Linked DNA regions of Drosophila melanogaster. The protein of the gene in region 4 interacts with the protein of the main gene of each other region in a pairwise test. Each region holds a gene or a part of one and is shown on either strand. Other genes may lie near its edges. The genes, in order: baf, LamC, Lam and bocks.

Region 1 (3,395 bases), on a different chromosome or scaffold from region 4:
CTGTAACTCTGAAATAACACACAGAGTAGCAGTGACCGCACAGCCTTTTTCCCGCTCGCACTCGCGCACCTGCACCGTCCCGTCTGCCGTCGTGTATGGCCGTCTCGCTCTGCGAGTCTATATACAAAGAAAAACACACACACACTGGCACACTGGTGTTCGCATATGCCAAAGCCGAGTTAATTTCACTTTGTTTAATCTATCGTTTGGTGTTTTTGCATTTTTTAACCGCGCAAACGGTATTTGCGCGTTTTGCGCCTCTTACTTTGCGATTTATTGCACCGCTTGGCTGTGTTTTGCAATTTCTCTCTTAATTTTCATTGGTATTCACGCGTAATGTAATTCTTAGCAGCGTGACCGCGCCGATAACGATAAAAAATACCACGGGACCAAAAATAAATACCATATGATACCACTTCAGGGAAAAGAAATCCTATTTAATACCACTCACTTTAAAAATAAGTTTTTAAAAATATATATTTTTATTTAAAAAAAGTTGTATTTATAATCAAATACTCGGTACTAATTAATTACTCGAGGACAATTAATTTTGACAAAAGGGGTTTCATTATAAAATATATATTAACCGCTTACACATAATCCCCAAACAAAACAGCGATTGGGATTTAAAAGGTTCTAAGTCCATCATTATAAAAGATCATTTCCGAAAAACAAAAAGAAATAGATTTCAAAATTAGGCGACATCAGCCCGCTGATAAAGAAACATCAAAAAGACAGAGGCTTATTTCAGCGAGTCAGAGACTCCTACTCGCCAACAATCGAAAACATAGAGAAGATATAGTCGCCAACCGATCTGCCTTCTATAGTGTTGCTTATTGTTGTCCCCTAATCAAATTAATAAAAATCTGCATTAGGCTGCTTCGCCGGCCAGCAACAAATGTTTTACACCTACTGTACTTTTCGCAGAACAGAGATCCAAATGCAGGATCGTTTCCATGACTGTACATTTATTCGGATTAGACATTAAATTACACCCTACAGCTATACATACTAACAGTGAACACGGCAAATGCTTAGCTAGCATTGGGCCACTTTCGTTGACTGCGAATAAAAATGATTGGCCGATGCCTTTAGCAGATTCCTTTTGATCGAATTACTCGGATGGCTTGTGTGTCCACCTCTTACAAGAACTCCTCGCACCAATCGTTGAGACAGTTGTAGCAATCGGATGCCTGTTTGGAGCTGGCGTGGCACACCTCCTTCATCCAGTCCTTGAACAGCTCCTCGTCCTTTTTCAGCACCAGATACTGTCCCAAAACGGTGTAGGCCTAAAACGAATGGAAATGATCGTTAGCACTTGACTGGCATTGTTTATTTGCGCACATGGCGTCATCGTATTTACACACGCACCATATCGAATCCAGCGTCCTTCAAGCGTCCACCGAGGGTTTCCCCAATTCCGGCCAGTTCCGTCACCGACTTGTTGCCCATTGGCTCCGCAACGAAGTTCCTGTGTTTCTGCGATGTGCCCGACATGTTTGTAGTTTGCTTTGCTGCTGCACGTTGCGAAATTCCAATGCTTAGCTAGATTTCAATGGCAAAATATTCGCGGCGTTTCTGAAAATGACGCACAGCCAGTGTGGCAGCAAGTGATATTTTCGAAAATGCAACAACACATCTAGATATACTAAACAAAATTAGGCAATGTAATAGGCCACGTAATTCTGGCTTTACTCATTTGCGCACCCAACAATTAACAAAGTTTAATTATTCTTTTACATAGCATTGGCAAAAAATAGAGTTTTATAAGATGCACTCAAAAATGTTTCTTTGAAATTGCGGATTACATATTTTTGTAATCTACTTAATCTACTTAGGTCAAATGCCAGCAATATTTTACATGTAAGATGTATGCTTACATGGTTTGATGTATGGTATTTTACATGACCGTTTTAGATTTTGAATACTTAAAGTTTTCTATAAATTTGAAATTTGTTATAATGTTAGTGCATTAAAGTATTGCATTTGTGAAAAATTTACATAGCCATCGCTGAAAATCTAAATAATATTTAATCTATGTGTACATAAGATGTAGCATTTTTCATAAAAACACTTATAAAAATGTAATTGTTATTGTAACTTATTTAACTAAATTACCGAACATATTTTCAAATATTTATATTGTTCCACTTTTCAATACCGGGGCAACGCACCTTAGATTAGTATGCACCGATGAACTGGGCTTAACCCAATTTAACAGCGCCGCGCTTGGGACGCCCAACTGAGTTGGAATGATAACGCCGAGACCCTTCCGACCGAGGCTTCAACCTGGCCAGCAGTCCGTCCAAAACTCCAGTCTTGATTGACACCTGGCCCTCGTCTAGCTTATCGTACGCTATAAAATCCACACACCCGATTCCCGTGGCACAGTGACGTCGACTTTGGTACAGAGATGTTAGCGCTTTGCTGGCTTTGTGGCCTGGCCCTTAGTTGTTGGATGGGTGAGTTGGGAGTTACGGGGAAACGGATATACATATGTGGCTTTGTCTCACCTGACCGAGATTCGCGCGCACACTGATGCTGAGTAATTAAAACGCTCCAGGCCACAAATTAATTGCTGGGCTGGAACCGGTTTCGAGGATTACTAATGCGTCAGCCGCCTTAATGAGCTTGGATCTGGGAAGCTGGGAAACTGGGAGCTGGGAGCTCCGATCTTTGGAATCCGGCGTCCGATCAGTTCAAGATCGACGTTTAGCTGGTCAAGATGTCCTCGAATGCGCTGGCCTGCATCTGTAATGTGATCAATCCGTGTCGCAACGAGGTGTCCACCACATTTGTGGTGGTGCAGTGGCTCATCACCGGATTCGCTGCCCTCGCCCAAGTGGTGCGACCCGTGCTGCTGCTTTGTAAAATGTTTTCAATTCGATTTAGCCATCCTTCTAAGCATAAGTTTCTGCTCCATTTTAGTTGGCATTCGTGGTGAGGTGGCTCTAAATCAGGAGGATTACAACAAAACCTGGATCTACATGCCCAATGGACAGGGTAAGCCTGAGGTGGCCTATCTGGTGGAACCTCCGCCCGAAAACCGCATCAATCTGCCACAGCTCATCAAGTTCGAGCTGTACGGAAGGTGTGTGGTTTTTTTTTATTTGATTTGAAGAGTTATCTTTCGTAGTGGTCACAATTTGAATCCTTTTATTCCAGCGACTCCAGTTCCAGTGCTGATTTCTGGATAGATGAGAATAACTTTGAGTTTCCGCAGCGCCACAAGCGAGACACCTGGCAGGAGATGGCGGAGAAATTCAATCCGGAACTGGACACCAAGATACTCGTTCACGGCTGGAAGTCCAGCACCATGAGCAATTCGATTCAATCGATTCGTGGTGCCTATATCGAACGTGGCCAGGTGAACGTGTTCGCCATCAACTGGAAGG
Region 2 (7,248 bases), on a different chromosome or scaffold from region 4:
ATAATCAACCATTCCATTGAGTAAATTTCCCTTTGCCCTCATTCTTATCAATTTGTAATCTTAATCCCCAGCTATTCATCAAGCTAAAAAAAAAACTCAGCTAGAATACTTTGAAGACAAAAAACAAAAAAACACAAAGAACAGAATAATAATAAAACCAAACAAAGTCCAAATGAGACAACAAACACAAACATTTAACATCTGGTTAGGCTTTAATGTTCGTTTTTTTTCCACACACACAAACGGGCTCATTAATTAATTTTAATTAGCTAACGCTCACAGCTTACAAACGGATCACAAGTATAATTATAATTTCGAAAAGGGAAGTGGCGAGTTTGGGTAAGAAAATAATTTCAACGCTCGTTCATGATTAAAAATAATTCGGTGACGTCACAGAGAAGCGGCTACGTTTTGGAGGTCAGTGCTATATACACTCGATTTACTTTTTTCTCCGTCTTTCGTTTTTTTTTTTTTGTCGTTTTTCTTTGCTTGACTGCCTCTCGGGTGGTGACGTCACGGGCGTCGTTAACATTGCACGAGAAGTTCACATATTTTCTCACAGCGTGTGTTGAGACAGAGAATTCACAGCTCTCTAGTTCTCTCACTCTCATTGCGATTCTCAGGGGCAAAATAAAAAACAGTTTGCCGGCTATTTTTTGCATTTGAAAATAAAAGTTGGCAAAGGGGGAAAAATCGCTCTGCCACTTTTTAGGTGCTTATTTATTTATTATGACTGTGGGGCATCTACAAAAGCGTTCCAGTAAACTCAATGTCAATAAATATTTCACTTATGACATGTTCACACTACGCCAAGCCGTTTTCCACCAACCACCAACCACCACCACCCACCAGGAATGTTATGTACTGGTGCTACTCCCAGTCGTATTTCATAATTTTGGACAAGTCACTGGGCCATAATTGACCCGCCGCTGATCGATAAGCTCGAGTGACACATTGCGCATTCGAACTGTGGGCCAAATGGCACGGAATTGATGATATGTGGGCGGGCGTTCATTGTGGTCGCTTTTCATGTGTCGCAATCTCTATTAAGGGAACTACATTATGCGGCCAACGAAAATCGAACAAATCATAATGAAAATGTGTGGCCAACGGGTGGAAGAATGTAATGATGCCGAAGGGAAATGTTCGTTAGGCAATGTTCAAACATATGCATAGATGGGTTATATTCCAACGTTTTCAAATCTTACAAACTATTTTCTAAAGTTTACTCCATTTCTTTTTCTAGTAAAATTTCTAATTCTGTAGCACTTAGCGCGTTCATTAACCTTGGGCAACTCAATGAAGATCTTATTGAAGATTGGAATGCATCGCTGGGATTCCGCCTAAAGGTACAGTGCAGCTTCTTTAAAAAGAACACTGTAAGTTTAATGCTAGAACTTAACAAAAACATGTGTTTCTTACAAATTTCTTTCATTTTATATTAAAACACGATTTTCAAGATTTTTAAAGATTTTCCAGAGAAGTAAAACAAAATGTAAAGAACTCGTTTTTGGGACCAGTTGGTGTGTTTGTTAGTTGTTCGATTTCTATTTAGAGTTCCAGCGGCACAAACAGCTGTACATAGGAAAGCACAACAACTCTTACATATGCGAATGGGAAAGCGAATATGGTGGAAGGCGAAACAACAATAATACTAAAGCCAAAAGGTGAGAGCGGAAAAAATAGAGAGAGCAGCGCCGCATTCGTGTTGTATTTGGTTTTTTATGACCGCCGCCGCCGACGACGACTAATTTTGTCGATGATAGCCGTTCGTTTCGAGTCAAAGTTTCAGTCAATTTTTAGTCGTCAAAGCAGGCGGACGTCCAAGCAAAAAAAATTCAGAATCAAAAATATTGACAGTGACTTGAGAGGATTACGTACTTAACTTAGCAACTCGCACCTCGCAAAAAGAAAAGAAAACACATTGCAAAAATGTCAGCACGCCGCGTCACATTGAACACACGCGTTTCGCGCGCCTCCACCTCCACGCCGGTGGGCGGGGCATCCACCTCGTCAAGGGTGGGCGCCACCTCACCCACCTCGCCCACGCGCACCAGCCGGCAGCAGGAGAAGGAGGAACTGCAGCATTTGAACGATCGCCTGGCCTGCTACATCGATCGCATGCGCAACCTGGAGAACGAGAACAGCCGGCTCACCCAGGAACTGAATCTCGCCCAGGATACCGTCAACAGGGAGACCTCTAATCTGAAGGCGGTCTATGAGAAGGAGCTGGCCGCCGCTCGCAAGCTGCTCGATGAGACCGCCAAAGAGAAGGCCAAGCTTGAGATCGATATCAAGCGTCTGTGGGAGGAGAACGACGACTTGAAGCCCAGGTAAAGCTCCAAGACGGCGGGTTCAGGTTTGGGCTCGGAATTGGTAACAGCGTATTATCAGCCAGTGATGTCATATGTACATATGTACCCATGCCGGGCCACTGGAGCGCGAGACACAGGCAGAAAATGGGGGCAACTTTGGGAGCCTTGTCAAGAAAATGTGGAATCAATAATGCACAGCACGAAAAGCAGCGAAATTTCTTCGATTTGTAAAGTAAAAGTACAGTCAGTCGAGATTTCTAGAAATGCACTACTTTTTATCAAATTGTTTTTTTTTTTTTACTTTTTTGTTGTATTTTGTATTGAAATAAGCGAATTTTATATTTATTTCTTAGGTACAGTTGACCTAGAAGTTCAATTCCAGCTATGTAGTTATGTAGCGAAAACAATAACAAATTGTTTTATTTATAAAGGCAATATATTTAATTTTCATATTTCATGCTATTCGTAAGAAGAAAAGAGTTTTAGTAAGATACAAACTTCAGTTTCCATGGTTGTTTTTTTTTTATATGTAGGGAGTGACAGAGACAGACAGAGAACGGGGCAGACTGAGAGCGAGCGAGGCCGATGATGTCATGCCAAAAGCACATTTTGAAAGCCAAGCACATGGGAAACTCTCTCGACTCTTTCGCTGTTGTTTATTTTTTGCATTTACACTTCCAGAATTCTCTAGGCATTTTTATGCAAATGTTTAGTTCTCAGCTAATGTGTGAGTAGTAAACCAAAAGAAACCCAATGAAAATCAAAAAGGAAGAATCGAAATACCGCCGTAAATCTCAATGAAGGTTACAAGACTATGATGTCATATGGCACTCAGTTACAGATCCATTTGTAATACCAGTTTCTGGTGGGAAGTCAACAAAAGTTGGGTTGCTTAGCTTTTCCACTTGCGAGATTTCCGTTTCGCGTCGTTTGCGTTATCATATTTATTTTTGGTATTTACTGCGCGATGAGGCCCAAAGCTTTTTCAATTCATAATAGCCACAATTTGTTGTTTGTGCGTTTTGCAATGCGTTAACGAAGTTAAGAGTTTGGCTAAAAGGCGGGTGCCTAAATGTTGGGTAAACTTGATTTTTCGGCTACTTAAGGTGTGGCTTATACGTTGAGCAACGGACCGGAATAACCAAGGAAATTGTTTATGATGATTACGATTAGATACGATAAGATTGCAGCAGAATTATGGAACTTGTGATAAAAGATTTATCTTTTGTTGAGTGTCCATATTGCTTAAATTATTTTCATTTGTGAATGCTGGCTGTGCTTAATTATTTTAAATTTTTTTTTGAAGAATTTAGAAAGCCAAATATATTTTCATATTTATTCTTTGGTGACAATAGCATACATATGTACAAGCGAATTAGGTCAGCGGAAGGAATTGGGGAGGAAAAATGGAACTTTAACACGCTCACACAAAACGCACAAAAAAGGGGGAAATTTATGAAAATCTAGAACGCAAACAAAACAACCTTGAATCTATTTTGTTTTTATATTTCCCCATTTTTACACAACTTTTCTTGATTAGCTACGAAAACTGTTTACATTTTCTCGTTGCAACAGCAAAAACCGAAAGAAAATCGATAAAACAGAATAGAAGATTTTCAATCCATGAAAATAAACTTTCAAAAATGGTCAACACAATCGCCGTAAAAGGCGCCAAACTATATATATAATTTTAATTACGTTTTCATTGAACGCATGACATGCAAAGTCAATTATTTCATAGTTGAAATTATTGGATTTGTTATAGAGAATAATTTAAAACGTGCCGACCACGCGAGTCGCCGATTGACAACCAAAATTGATATCCGAAAATATGCAGGGATTATTTGTGGAATTTTCGTAGCTATTTTTTATAGCGAGTTTGTTTTTGCCTAAATAGAATTTCAAATACAAAAAATAAAAGGCGCTCATAAATCACAGGGGGTGGTGGGGTTTCGCAGGGGGGACGGGGTGAACTGGTCAGAAATAGCCGGGCTACTTTATGCTAATGGCATGTGACGACTTCTCCCAAGGCAAACAAAAACCTCGAAATGTTTGAGTATTTGATTCTTCTATGGAGGAGGATCGATGAACGAGTTTCCAAGCGACTATAGCATTTAAATAAATGAAATGAATAATACATAAGCGATATAAAGAGAGCGGTTTAGCTTTCGCAAACAAATGTGAGTCGCAATGTGACTCAGTTATAATTATATAGATAAGTGACGTCATTCAATGAGCACATGTAGATAAAAGCAAAAAAAACAATTGCTCCTATGAACCGCCTAAATTTCGATAAGGGATTACTCAGGCAAATAGGCTGATTAATTATTAAATTAAAAAGTTCTTTGTTATAAAAGATTATTAATTTTTAAACCAAATCCATTTTAAATTTAAGACTCGACAAAAAGACGAAGGAGGCTACCGTGGCAGAGAACAATGCCCGCCTGTATGAGAACCGCTACAACGAGGTGAATGGCAAGTACAACCAATCGTTGGCCGATCGCAAGAAGTTCGAGGATCAGGCCAAGGAGCTCGCTCTGGAGAACGAACGCCTGCGCCGCCAACTGGATGATCTTCGCAAGCAGCTGGAGGCGGAGACGCTGGCCCGCGTCGATCTGGAGAACCAGAACCAGAGCCTGCGCGAGGAGCTGGCCTTCAAGGATCAGGTGCACACCCAGGAGCTCACCGAGACCCGATCCCGTCGCCAGATCGAGATCAGCGAGATCGATGGCCGACTGTCGCGTCAATACGAGGCCAAGCTGCAGCAATCGCTCCAGGAACTGCGTGATCAGTACGAGGGTCAAATGCGCATCAATCGCGAGGAGATCGAGCTGCTGTACGACAATGAGATCCAGAACCTCAAGGCTGCTGCCAATAGGGCTGCCCAGGGATCCGCTCTTGCCACCGAGGAAGTCCGTCTCATGCGCACCAAGATCGATGGCTTGAACGCCAAGCTACAGAATCTGGAGGACACCAATGCTGGCTTGAATGTGAGTACTGCAATTGCCAAACTAAATTCCCCGTGTGATTTTAATGTTGACATTTTCTCATTTACCATAGGCTCGCATTCGGGAGCTGGAGAACCTCTTGGACACGGAGCGCCAGCGCCACAACCAGTACATCGCCTCCTTGGAAGCCGAACTACAGCGTATGCGCGACGAGATGGCTCACCAGCTGCAGGAGTACCAGGGTCTGATGGACATCAAGGTGTCGTTGGATCTCGAAATTGCCGCTTACGACAAACTGCTGTGCGGTGAGGAGCGTCGCCTGAACATCGAGTCGCCCGGACGCCCGACTACCGACTCCGGTATCTCCAGCAATGGCAGCCACTTGACCGCCAGTGCCAGTTCCCGATCCGGCAGGGTCACGCCCAGTGGCCGTCGCTCGGCTACACCTGGCATCTCTGGATCCAGCGCCGTGAAGCGTCGCCGCACCGTGATCGATGAGAGCGAGGATCGCACTCTGTCCGAGTACTCGGTGAATGCCGCCGCCAAGGGAGATCTGGAGATCATCGAGGCGGACGTTGAGGGACGCTTCATCAAGCTGCACAACAAGGGAACCGAGGAGATCAATCTGACTGGCTGGCAGCTAACCCGCATTGCCGGCGACGAGGAACTGGCCTTCAAGTTCTCGCGCGGATCGAAGGTACTCGGCGGTGCTAGTGTAACCATTTGGTCCGTCGATGCTGGTACCGCACATGATCCACCCAACAATCTGGTGATGAAGAAGAAGTGGCCGGTGGCCAACTCGATGCGATCGGTGCTGGCCAATGCCGACAAAGAGGTGAGAGTCTTGTCCATATACAACACATGCGGCACTTGCGACATCTGCCGCCACTGCAGACACCTCGAATTCGTGCTCGACCAGTACGATATGCCATAGACCTTTGCATATTTCGACTATAATTTACGTTATATCTTTTGCCTTTCAGGATGTTGCCAGCTACGACCGTGTCCGTGCTAACGTTTCCAGCCACACCTCGCGGCATCGCAGCAGTGGCACGCCCAGTACGGGCTTTACCCTCGGTTCCGGAGCTGGCTCCACTGGCGTGAGGAGCCTCTTCTCCCTGCTCTTCTAGGCGGGAGCTTCAACTTCGAATCGGACTGGCTTGGCTTGGATCCTGAGGCCCAGCCAAACAAAACCCAACTCACCGCAGAGACTCACAGACTCCGAGCTGCACATTCAAACCACACACAGATCTGTTCTGCATATCAAGCTTATTGTGAAACTATGTACAACAATCAAAACTTGTTCAACTCTTAATGTTAAATGTTTAAGTGACCTTAGTACATGTCTTTGACTCTATGCGTCTCCTATGTTTAAGTAAGTTTTTTCACGCTCTACACCCTACTCTCACTCTCTCTCTCTGTAATTTATGACGAGAACATGCATTTTGGTAAAAATACAAAAATAAACAAACAAATAAATGTTACAAGAAAGTTGGCTGGAAAATCAATTAATGAGATTTAGCCGTGCGGTCGCCTGCGTTGATATCTTTTTTGCGAGGAAGCCAAATCGGCTTAGGCCAGTGGAAAACTTCTTGAGATGCTGTCGCGGCATTTTGCACTATCTGGGATCCAGGACCATGGGCCAGGCCATAATGGACAGGTAAGTGGGGGAAATTAACTACAAGAAGTCAGGTGGACAGGTGCAGCTGGGAGCAAAACTGTGGGCTAAAACCGAACGAGGTCAACGAAAAAGTTTCGCAACTTTACAACTTGAAAATAAATTAGGTTGGATCACTGGGAAAGGTCGAGCAAACCGAAGCAAAAGTTTTTAATGGAGCAAATATACAGCTTCAGGGCAGTTGTAGAAATATACTATTTAACAATTCTAGGGCTGCCATTCAAACTAATAAACGACTCGTTTCGGATACAAAAATAATGCTTAGAAATACATATGTGCAATAAAAGCCAGTTGTACTAGTTCGTTT
Region 3 (6,514 bases), on a different chromosome or scaffold from region 4:
TTTTGTTATCGTTATCGCGGGTTAAACGGTCACTGCATTTGCCAGTTGAACGAACTTTAACCGCATCTCTCGCGTTGAGTGCGTTTCGTTTGAGTGGATTTTGCTCTCTTCTCTATCGACAGGGTTGACACCTAACATTTTTAAAAGAAACAATCATGGTCGGAAGAAGAAGAGAAATTATATTTATAAATGCGAAAGCACGTTGGTTTTGAAACGTCCTGCACTCAAAAATAATCGATAAGTCACTCAAAAATAAAGTTTATGAGCGAACACACGCATTGAAAAAGCATGTAGGCAACTAATACAGACGCAGAAAAATTAAAATTCCAAAAATAACTCATGGCGACGAATAGAAACGCAAAGCGAGTGACGAAAAAAGGGCCACCAGGCGTCGAAAGTGAAATGCGTACCCTACTATTACGAAATTCGTAGGAGCTTATTGGTTTCAGTATACGCTTTAAAACTATTTAATACTTTTTTATGTCTTTCTCTCTATTGCTAAATCAAAGTTTGTTTTTAATTTTTATTAAACATGGTTTCTTTATTTTTTAATTATCAAATTATTAGCAATTACATACATAAACGTAGATGTACTTAAAATTTAGTTGTATTCATCAGTTTTTGTATAATAGTCTGTGTGGGCGTTGCATTTGTTTGGCCGGCGTAAAACGCGACCACGCCCACCCATAAAAAATGCGACGGATCGCTGAGCCGCTACGTGTACTTCCATTTTCTTTCGTTTTTCTTCTTTGTTGCTTTTGTAATTGTTGTACATTTGTGTTGTTGCTGTTAATGCTGTTGTTGTTGTTGCTGTTCTTATTGTTGCTCGTCCGGTAAAATGTCTGCAGGAAGCTCAAGAACCGGTCTAAACCGGGAGAAAGCCGTTTTGGTGGATCGTAAACCCTATGGCCATGGCTAAAAATATATATTGCTGGCTGGTTGTCACTTCCGTAGGCATGAGTCTATATATATAATGTATGTATGTATATGTATGTATAATGTATAATGTATTTTATGTTGATTGTACAAAAAATACTTAAATAAATATGTCTGTTGTCAGGAGCGTTTGTTTTCTTTAGTTAATCCTCTTGACCTGTATCTTATAAATCACTCACTACGTGCTCGTTGTTTTTTTTTTGTTGTTGTTTGCTGACGTCGACTGGTTTATCTGGGATATAGCTTAAAAACTAATTTACTAAATATGTAGGTGGAGCGTAAGTACATCGAAAATATTGTTTTTCTTGCAATATTTTCAAAGTTCTTGCCGCCGCGAATACAAGAAGTGAACGTCTTACGTAAATTCTATGTGGCATAAAAAAGAGGCAACATGCCTCTCCAGTTTATACCAAATAAAGTTTACAATAGATTAGTTAACGCGGAAATACAAAAACATCGAAACAATAAACTATAGAATTTGTTAAGAAAGGGAAAACGAAAGTGTACAAACGAAACGAAGATTCAGGATGTCTTCTACACAAATGTTTTTGATTAAATAATTGGCGCTGCGGCCACAAAAAATAACTTAGCTGAATAATAAATCTCTGTACCTCGGTGTGTGTGTTTTTGGGTTCTAAATTATGATCTTCGTGTGTGCTTATTTTGTTTGTCTTGTTCAGCAAAGAGGAAAGAGTTGTGTTGTGCTGCGTTTGATTTTACATAATGGCGCACTTCTCGTTTGACTGCTGAGGATCGCCCTGCTGGTGGTAGAGCTGCTCATTGCCGTCCACGGCGGTCACGCTGCGACGACGACTCAGCCGGGAGGAGGATGTGTGTTGGGACACAATGCGCTTGATGCGATCCAGATTGGCCACGGCCTCGCCCTCGGAGTTCAGCAAAATCGTCCTAGTGTTGTCGGCGGAGACCCACTTCTGTGACTTCATCACAAGGCTCGATGGCGGCTCGTGCGAGGCCTTGGTGTCCGCCGACCAAACGGTGATCACGCCATTTGGCTCGATCCTCACCGATCGATGGAACTTGTAAGTGGTCGAAGGACCTTTCTCGTTGATTAGCCGCTGCAGCTGCCAGCCACCGATGGCCACCTCCTCGCTGCCCTTGTTGAACAGCCTTACGAACTTGCCCTCGGGATCGATCTCCTTGATCTCCACGTTGCCCTTGGCACTGGCGGACACATAGTAATCGGCGACGCTGTGATCCTCCGACTCGTCGACCACGGCGCGTTTGCGCTTCACGGCAGCAGAGGGAGTGCGACGCGATGGCGTGGCTCGCGTGGAGTTGCGCAGCGACTGGCTAAAGGACTGCACTGTGGCCGTGTTGGTGGCTGGGGTGATGTTCAAACGAGCCTCCTCGCCCACCAGCAGCTTGTCGTATGCGGCGATTTCCAAATCCAGGGAGACCTAAGCAGGATAATTAGATTTATGTATTAATACGTACACGATTTTAGACAAGTATTAAAGCTAACCTTGATGTCCATAAGGTCCTGGTACTCCTTGAGCTGTTGCGTCATCTCTTCGCGCAGCCGAATGAGCTCCTTCTCGAGAAGGTCTATCTCTTGACCGTGGCGTTCGCGATCGTTGTCCAGCTGGCGCTCCAGATCACGGATCCGCGCATTGAGGTCGGCATTGGCTTGCTCCAGTTCGTTGATATTGGCGTTGAGCGCATCGATACGCACACGAGTGGAGCGCAGCTCCTCGATGGACTTGTGCGTGGAATTGGATGTGCGTGCGGCGGCCTCTTGCAGTCGTTGGATCTTGTCCTCGTAGAGGGACTGGATTTCATCGCGATTAATCTGCATCTGCTCCTCGTACTGGGCGCGCAGCTCCTGCAGCGACTGCTTCAACTTGGCATCGTACTCGGAGCTGAGGCGACCGTCGATCTCGCTATACTCTGTCTGTTTGATGCGGCGCGACTCATTGATCTCCTGCGAATGGATCTGATCCTTGAACGAGAGCTCCTCGCGCAGACTCTGAATGGTGTTCTCCAGGTCAACGCGCGACAGTGTCTCCTGTTCCAGGTTCTTCCGCGTTTCCTCGAACTGCTTACGCAGTCTCTCCAGCTCCTTTAGCGCCTCATTCAGGTCTTCGTTAAGCTTCTTCCGATCGGCGTTGGCCTGGTTGTATTTGTTGTTCAGCTCGTTGGCGCGCGACTCGTACATGCGGACATTGCCTGCGGGTTGGGATAATCAATCAATTAATGTTCGTTAAATGCCAGAATAGGGATGATTTTGTCACAGAAAGTGAGGAATATCATGGGATAATCATTATATACAGTTCAGCAACTAAATGAATGTTTCGTTCTTGCTTGAAACCACGCCTTTTGTCTCTTCTTACTTTTAATTTTATCATTACTCTACTTTCTTTGCCCTACAATTATAAGGTTTTCTTATCGATTCAGTTTCCACGCACTTACCCTCAGCAGTGGTGCACTCCTTGGTCTTCTTGTCCAGCTTGTTCTTGAGCTCCTCGTTCTCCTCCCAGAGACGCTTGATATCGATCTCGGCACGAGCGCGATCCCTAGCTGTGTCATCGAGCAGACGGCGCGTCTCCAGCAGCTCGGCCTCGAAGATGTTCTTGATGTTGGTGGTCTCGCGTGTGACCGTGTCCCTGGTGGTCTGCACCTCGATGGTGAGGCGGGAGTTCTCCGTCTCCAGGTTGCGCACCCGGTCAATGTAGGTGGCCAGGCGATCGTTCAGGTTCTGCAGCTCCACCTTCTCGGCCACGCGCGAGTGCCGGGTGGGGCTGAGGGGGCTGGAGGCCGTCTGCGAGTGAGTGGACGGCGGCGGCGGCTGCGGACCCGCCGATGGCGGCCGGGGGGTGGAGGTGTTGCCGGGCTGCGGCGTGGCGGTGCCAGCACGTCGGGATTTGCTCGACATGTTCACGCTGCAAGACAAATGAAATGTGCAGAATAACACGTGAGATTTTTGTGACTGACCTCTTTAGGACACAACACTTGAAGAAAAGTTGAATAACACAATTGCGTGCCTTCTAAACGCGTTTTATATGCAATACTTATATTTGAACTTTTTCGTTCGGTGTAGGGTATGTTATTTTTGCGCCCTGATAAAATTCCAAACAGAACCGAACACGAAAGAGGGGAAACGCACAAAACGCTCAAAAACAGAAGCTAAACGAGTTTCTCTAACGCGCTCTCTCTCTCTCTCGCAGTCTCCTCTACGTCTCACTCACACACACGCACATCGCTTTCCACTCAAGCGACTGTACTAAAGCGGACGAGGAAAACGAAGTGAGTTTGTCGGCGTTTGTTTATGGGCGTGGAGGCAAATGGCGCGGCTAATACTAGTTTAATCAATCGCAACGCTTAGCTAATCCAGTCGACGCACTTTAAACGATTTGATAAGGAGCCAAAAATTGCACAATATGGCGATTTTAATTCAATATTTACAGCGACTTTACACTAATACAGGCAGGGGGGTTATTTCGATTTTGAGTGAAACAGTGCCGCCTCTATTGTTCGGCACTTAATCAGTTATTTCAACTTTTTCTACAAGTTTTCCTAATGCTCGTAGATAGCAGCGCAACTCACCTGACTTTTTATAACGAACGGAAAATGCACAAATTTGAAAATGAAGTATCTTGCAGCAGGAAAACGCGGCCGACGCTGGAACGTGTAATCGAATTTGTTGCGATGGTTTCAGAGACTAATCGATAACTTTCCGGCATGCCTGGTGTGACCAAACGCCGCGCTAGATAAAAGACTAAGAACCGCTTGACCCCAAAATGATAAAAAAAAAATTAAATTTAAGCTCAACAAGCCATTTTAATTTAAAGCGTTAGAAGGCATATATTTTATAAAAACTTTTTAGTTGAAGCTTACAAATGGATTTGTTGTGCACAACTATCGATAACTTAACGATATCACCCGGCTCAGCTCGCATGAGTTCTTAAACGTACTTCGGTCACACTGCTCTGCGCTGTTTTTTCCTCCGCATCACGTTAAAGATTTTAAAATAGTTAATTTCACTTTAAAAGCTGTATTTTAAAGTGATAAACGTGCACAAAAGGTGAGTTTGACACTGAAAATCACACTGCACTAAATAAAATCGTCGCTTGTAATGGGTATTTCGTTTTATTTCGAAATACATGTAATGCGGTGCGGTGAAAAAACAAAATGGCGGAGGGAACGCCGGCACCGGTTCCGCAAAAAAAAGCGGCATTTTCTTTAACAAACACATGTAACTTATCTAGTCGCACCCATTTTATTTCCCAGCATTTAGTTGCGAATTTATAGCCGATAACTAGTTAAAGGTAAGAAAGCCGCAGAAATGGCCGACAATGACGATCTTTTGGACTACGAGGATGAGGAGCAGACCGAGACCACTGCGGTCGAAAACCAGGAGGCCCCCAAGAAGGATGTCAAGGGCACCTATGTGTCCATTCACAGTTCCGGCTTCCGCGATTTCCTCCTGAAACCGGAGATCCTGCGCGCCATCGTGGACTGCGGCTTCGAGCATCCCTCGGAGGGTGAGTACTTGCACTCCACCTGGAGTGACGAAAGGTACAGTCACTAACGATGCTCTCCGCTTGCAGTTCAGCACGAGTGCATTCCGCAGGCCGTACTGGGCATGGACATCCTCTGTCAGGCCAAGTCCGGCATGGGTAAGACCGCCGTCTTCGTTCTGGCCACGCTGCAGCAGCTGGAGCCGTCGGACAACAACACCTGCCACGTCCTGGTCATGTGCCACACCCGCGAGCTGGCCTTCCAGATCAGCAAGGAGTATGAGCGATTCTCCAAGTACATGCCCACAGTCAAGGTGAGTCTACGTTTTAATCCATTGTATATAATTCAACAAAAAGTTTGGTTCGACTATATAGTTACTATATATTAATTCGATATGTTTTCTATTTAGGTGGCTGTCTTCTTTGGCGGAATGGCTATTCAAAAGGACGAGGAGACCCTCAAGAGCGGCACCCCGCATATTGTGGTGGGCACCCCTGGCCGAATTCTCGCCCTCATTCGCAACAAGAAACTTAATCTGAAGCTTTTGAAGCACTTTGTGCTCGACGAGTGCGACAAGATGCTGGAGCAGCTGGGTAAGTTGACTAATAATCACCAAATGACGGACGTTTTACTAATAACCAAACCATTCTTTTAGATATGCGTCGTGACGTTCAAGAGATTTTCCGTAGCACGCCGCACGGCAAACAAGTGATGATGTTCTCTGCCACATTGAGCAAGGACATTCGTCCCGTTTGCAAAAAGTTCATGCAAGATGTAAATATCAACGTGTTCATAACCAAAATGCTCGTACTTCTCCACCTCGCATCCACCGCTATCACGACAATTAGTTATTATTTTGTTAATGCCACGCGATATCGAACATTCGATCTTGATCCCCTCCGTATAAGCCAACCACCATCTTGCAAATGGTTAAACGCGTACAACCAAACGTCCAGCGCTCTGTGAGCATAACTCGTATCGAAAAACTTAGTTAATGACTATCGGACACCATTTTCTAAATGGTTAATCGTGGAAATTGGCAACCGTTGCAAAAGCATAAACAAGCAGTAACCGCTGAATGAATCAATTGAAATCGCAA
Region 4 (3,837 bases):
TGAAAGTTAAGCGGGTTCAACAGCAAAAACAGCTGAAAACAGCAGCCAAAGGTTGTGTCAATGAACTGCGGTGGCGAATTCCCCAATTCCCCCAATTTGGGTTGCCTAATGTCATGGGCATGGGGCTAATCTTTTGTTAACAATTGTGATTTGGTTTATCGATGGAAGGCCTCTCACGTGACTTGGCTATCAAGCAATACCAAATATAGGCAATGACCGACTGAATAGAATGAAATGCCCAACACAAATTATATTGGTAACAATAAATAACATTTGGAGCTACTTGAAATCAGCAAATTCACATGTACAAGCCACTCCAAAAATAGCACCAAATATGTATGTGCCTAAATCACTGATATTAACATTTAGTTTGAAACCCCATTTCTTCCTTGCAACCCCCGATGCTTCTTTTTAGATGAATTCTTAATTATGAGTAAATATATCTTCATGAATACAATTGTTCAAATGCTCTTTGTGAGTACATTCCTTGGAATTCGTTATAAGTGCAACGTAAACAATATTTAAAGAATACCCGGTGGTCGGTCCTATTGGGCATTCTAAGCTGCAGAAGTGTAAAAAGGGTTGGTTTTATTGCTCACCTGGTGTTAATTGTTGCGGCAACAGGTAGTTCTTCTGGTGGAGTAGACTGGTGAACTGGACTGCCGATAAGAAGGAGGCCACGCGCAGAGTTTGAGTTTGGGCAATAGCAATATCGAAATGTAATAAACCAAATACCAGAAAGGCAATTACTCGTTCACTTTCGATTCGATCGGCCGATAAGGAATTTTACAGGGAAAACACGATGTCAACACGTTTAAACAAAGAACAAACGCACTTATTTTCTGTTTGCGCTTAACAAAAAAACAAAAACCCAAATACGAGGATATTTTTTTTTTCGTTTAGTATTTATATCTACTTTGATTCGTTGTTGTTTTTCACGTTTTATGTGTTTGTTTTTGTCCCGCTTGCTCTTTTTTGGGGCGCCTTTCTCGCTCTTGTCCGCTTTAACCGGTTTTTTGGTTTATGTTTATGCTGCTGCTTCTACTGCTGCTGTTGTTGCTGTTTTTGTTTCCCTTGCTCTTGCTTGGCTAAATGGAAAATATGCTGCAATTGCAGCCAGCAAATTGTCGAATGTTTCCAGCCACTTGCTTTGCTACTCGAAATCGATGCCAAAAACTTTAATAACACCCGCGATTGAGGTAAACAAAAGTGTAATAAGCGAAGTGAGGCACACACGCAGGCGCAGAAAAGCAAAAAGGTGAAGAAATATTGGCCGCCAAACAGGTGCAAATGATTCACGATTGTTTTTCCACAATCCACTGTTTATGTTACGATGCTATATCTCCTCAGTTTTCCGCACTGCGACTTGGGGATTTTCTTTGGCTTGGCGAGCGCTTTCCGCGCGGCGATTCGTTTAATTCGAGCGTCTTGTTTGCGATTGAACACCTGTTGCGCGTTCGATTTTCATAAAACTAACTGTGTGACCGTCGGGCGTTAGTTGAAATAAACCATAGCAAGCGTATCCAACCAGGTCTGGCAGCACTGCTGTAAATGTTTAGTTGTAGGCATTTTATAACACTGCACATGAGGCGATTGCACATAAAATATCGAGTTAAGTTTTTCTTCAAGTAGTTTGTTCTTCTGTCTGATGTTAAAAAATTGTTTTTACTTTCGTGCACAGCTCATCCAGCATATGAAATCTAGCTATAGTTTGTCAAACAACATTACTTTAGCAGCAATCGATAGGCGTGCACTTAGATTGAACATTCTATCGCTGCCGTTCCATCACTAATAGACAACATTGTGACGACATTGCTATTTTTGTGTGTTTTGAGTTTCACCACGGCGGAAAATAATGTCGGACCTTTCTTACCTGGACACGTTGGGCAACAAGGAGCTGCTGGCCAAGTGCCTGGAGCACGGCCTGCCCGGTGTTCCCGTGACGGACAGCACCCGCAGCGTCATAATTCGCCGACTAAAGGCCAAAATCACCGGGGTTCCGCTGAACAAAAGCAAATCTGCAAGTAAGAAAGCGATTCCGAGGCGTGAGACCGTACACGGCAGCCAGGTAACGACGCCCACATCGGAGCCAGTGCGTCGTACGCCCGGCAAGAGTGCAGGACGCACTAGCAGCAACAACAACAAGATCAGCGAACAAAGTCGTCGCACAATCGCCTATGGACTAGACAACACCTCGATCTCGGGAAGATCTGTGCAGACTACTACCACGGTGTCGGATATGAGCTCCCAGTCGGAGGACGACGACTCCTACATGGTGGACTCTCCGGTGCCTAATTACTCCAAGGACCAGCAGCCTAGACGTTATGTTTCTCTAGCCAAATCCGGAGTTTTGACCACATCTTACACACGCGAAGTTGACCAGCCGCTGTACGAACAGGAGGATATACCACGCAGCTACACCTACGAAAGACCCCATGTGCCAGCCGCCACTCTTCACGCACTTCCCACATACGAGCCACGCATCGAACCTTCGACATACAGACCCACAGATTTGGGTTTTTCGCGTCCCCTGCTGACTCAAACCAACTTAAACTCAACCAGCTACGAGGAGTCATCTACGTACAATCCAAAACTTTCACCCATTTCGCCAAGAAACACTTTCAGCGGATCCGCTAGGCCTTTTGGTGGCCCAGCACCAGCTCCAGCACCCATTCGCCAGCGACAGAGTGTTCCAGTTAGTGGATCCAATCTGGCCCGTGGTCGCCTGCTCCAGCCGACCACCGCAGTAAACACTCTATATCCACAACTAAATGAATTCTACGATCAGCCGAATGACGCAGGCGAACCCATGGAGACGGAGAGCGAGTCCGAAGTCGAGGAAGTACCCATCAATAGCCATTTCCAAAAGAATCGCTTCTCGCCGCTGGCTAGAAAACCTCTGGTAAGACACCACGATCAGGTTTCGCCTATGGCGCAGTTCCGTGCACTGGCGGTGTCATTGGATCAAAAATATAATCTCAAATTCTACTTAATATTGGTAGTGTCAGTGATGCTGGCCACCATGGTGTACGTGGTATTGACACCCAACGCCTGAGAAGCGTTCATATCGCGGAATACATTTGGTTTTGGTTACTCCACGCATTTCAACCACAGACTACAGCGAAGGAATATTTATGACGACTTTGCACCTTAAGACTACTACTTCAATTCCAAACATGTTCAAAACTAACAAATATTCAACTCAATTTGCCAAGTCTTTAATTGCTTGTTCTCGCATATTGTTTCTTTTTATACATAATTAGAAAAATGTACTACATTATAATTATTGTATTGTATTAAATAAACTAATTAAATGTAAGTGCTCAGTGTGTTTTGTTGCGATTTGTGTTTGTTTGTGGTACTCTCTGACAACGGACCATGGGTTTATTTATGCTTTATGCTACTATTTACACGCCATTTAAATGAACAAAACAGTGTAAAATCGTTAAAGGATATCGGGGATCGCGGCTAGGACATCACAAAGCAAATGGCTGCTGGCTGACTAATTGAAGTGGAACTTGAACTGGAACGGCGACCCGTGTTGGAAGTGTCCAAACGGATGTTCGCCATGGAAGCCGCCACGCTGATTGCTCTCAGGATCTAATGGATCCTCGCCGTTGTCGAATTGACGACGCTTCTCGGGATCCGTGAGAACCTCCTTGGCTGCGGCAATGTCAATAAACTTTTTCTCGGCCACCTTCTTTTCCTCGTCGCGGAAGTTGTCCGGATGCCACTTTTGCGCCGCCTTCCTGTAGGCCTTCACAATCTCCTGTTTGCTGGCGCTACGCTTAACGCCTAATATCTTATAGTAATCCCTGCGCTCTGACTGCTTCTGCA

What was found.
Region 1: the proteins of bocks (region 4) and baf interact in a two-hybrid assay, tested with the Drosophila melanogaster proteins (3 studies listed by BioGRID).
Region 2: the proteins of bocks (region 4) and LamC interact in a two-hybrid assay, tested with the Drosophila melanogaster proteins (one study listed by BioGRID).
Region 3: the proteins of bocks (region 4) and Lam interact in a two-hybrid assay, tested with the Drosophila melanogaster proteins (one study listed by BioGRID).

Annotation. Positions count from the first base shown.
Region 1 is NT_033779.5:8,027,710-8,031,104, reverse strand, and holds baf (barrier to autointegration factor), read right to left. Parts: upstream 1,644-3,395; 5' UTR 1,498-1,643; coding exon 1,372-1,497; intron 1,290-1,371; coding exon 1,143-1,289; 3' UTR 540-1,142; downstream 1-539. Other genes in the region: CG7367 (uncharacterized protein), read left to right, coding at 2,726-2,867, 2,929-3,091, 3,166-3,395. UniProt on the Drosophila melanogaster protein: Plays fundamental roles in nuclear assembly, chromatin organization, gene expression and gonad development. May potently compress chromatin structure and be involved in membrane recruitment and chromatin decondensation during nuclear assembly.
Region 2 is NT_033778.4:14,570,310-14,577,557, reverse strand, and holds LamC (lamin C), read left to right. Parts: upstream 1-1,786; 5' UTR 1,787-1,932; coding exon 1,933-2,333; intron 2,334-4,710; coding exon 4,711-5,305; intron 5,306-5,375; coding exon 5,376-6,181; intron 6,182-6,246; coding exon 6,247-6,367; coding exon of another isoform or gene 6,368-6,393; 3' UTR 6,394-6,748; downstream 6,749-7,248. UniProt on the Drosophila melanogaster protein: Lamins are components of the nuclear lamina, a fibrous layer on the nucleoplasmic side of the inner nuclear membrane, which is thought to provide a framework for the nuclear envelope and may also interact with chromatin.
Region 3 is NT_033779.5:5,540,647-5,547,160, reverse strand, and holds Lam (lamin), read right to left. Parts: upstream 4,682-6,514; 5' UTR 4,501-4,681; intron 4,383-4,500; exon of another isoform or gene 3,837-4,382; 5' UTR 3,830-3,836; coding exon 3,367-3,829; intron 3,124-3,366; coding exon 2,420-3,123; intron 2,355-2,419; coding exon 1,653-2,354; 3' UTR 519-1,652; downstream 1-518. Other genes in the region: Hel25E (helicase at 25E), read left to right, coding at 5,240-5,438, 5,505-5,728, 5,825-6,008, 6,071-6,189. UniProt on the Drosophila melanogaster protein: Lamins are components of the nuclear lamina, a fibrous layer on the nucleoplasmic side of the inner nuclear membrane, which is thought to provide a framework for the nuclear envelope and may also interact with chromatin.
Region 4 is NT_033777.3:9,588,948-9,592,784, reverse strand, and holds bocks (bocksbeutel), read left to right. Parts: upstream 1-1,782; 5' UTR 1,783-1,855; coding exon 1,856-3,055; 3' UTR 3,056-3,317; downstream 3,318-3,837. Other genes in the region: P58IPK, read right to left, coding at 3,503-3,837. UniProt on the Drosophila melanogaster protein: Inner nuclear membrane protein. May have a role in maintaining the structural integrity of the nuclear lamina. During pupal development, plays essential and redundant functions with the other LEM domain proteins; MAN1 and Ote.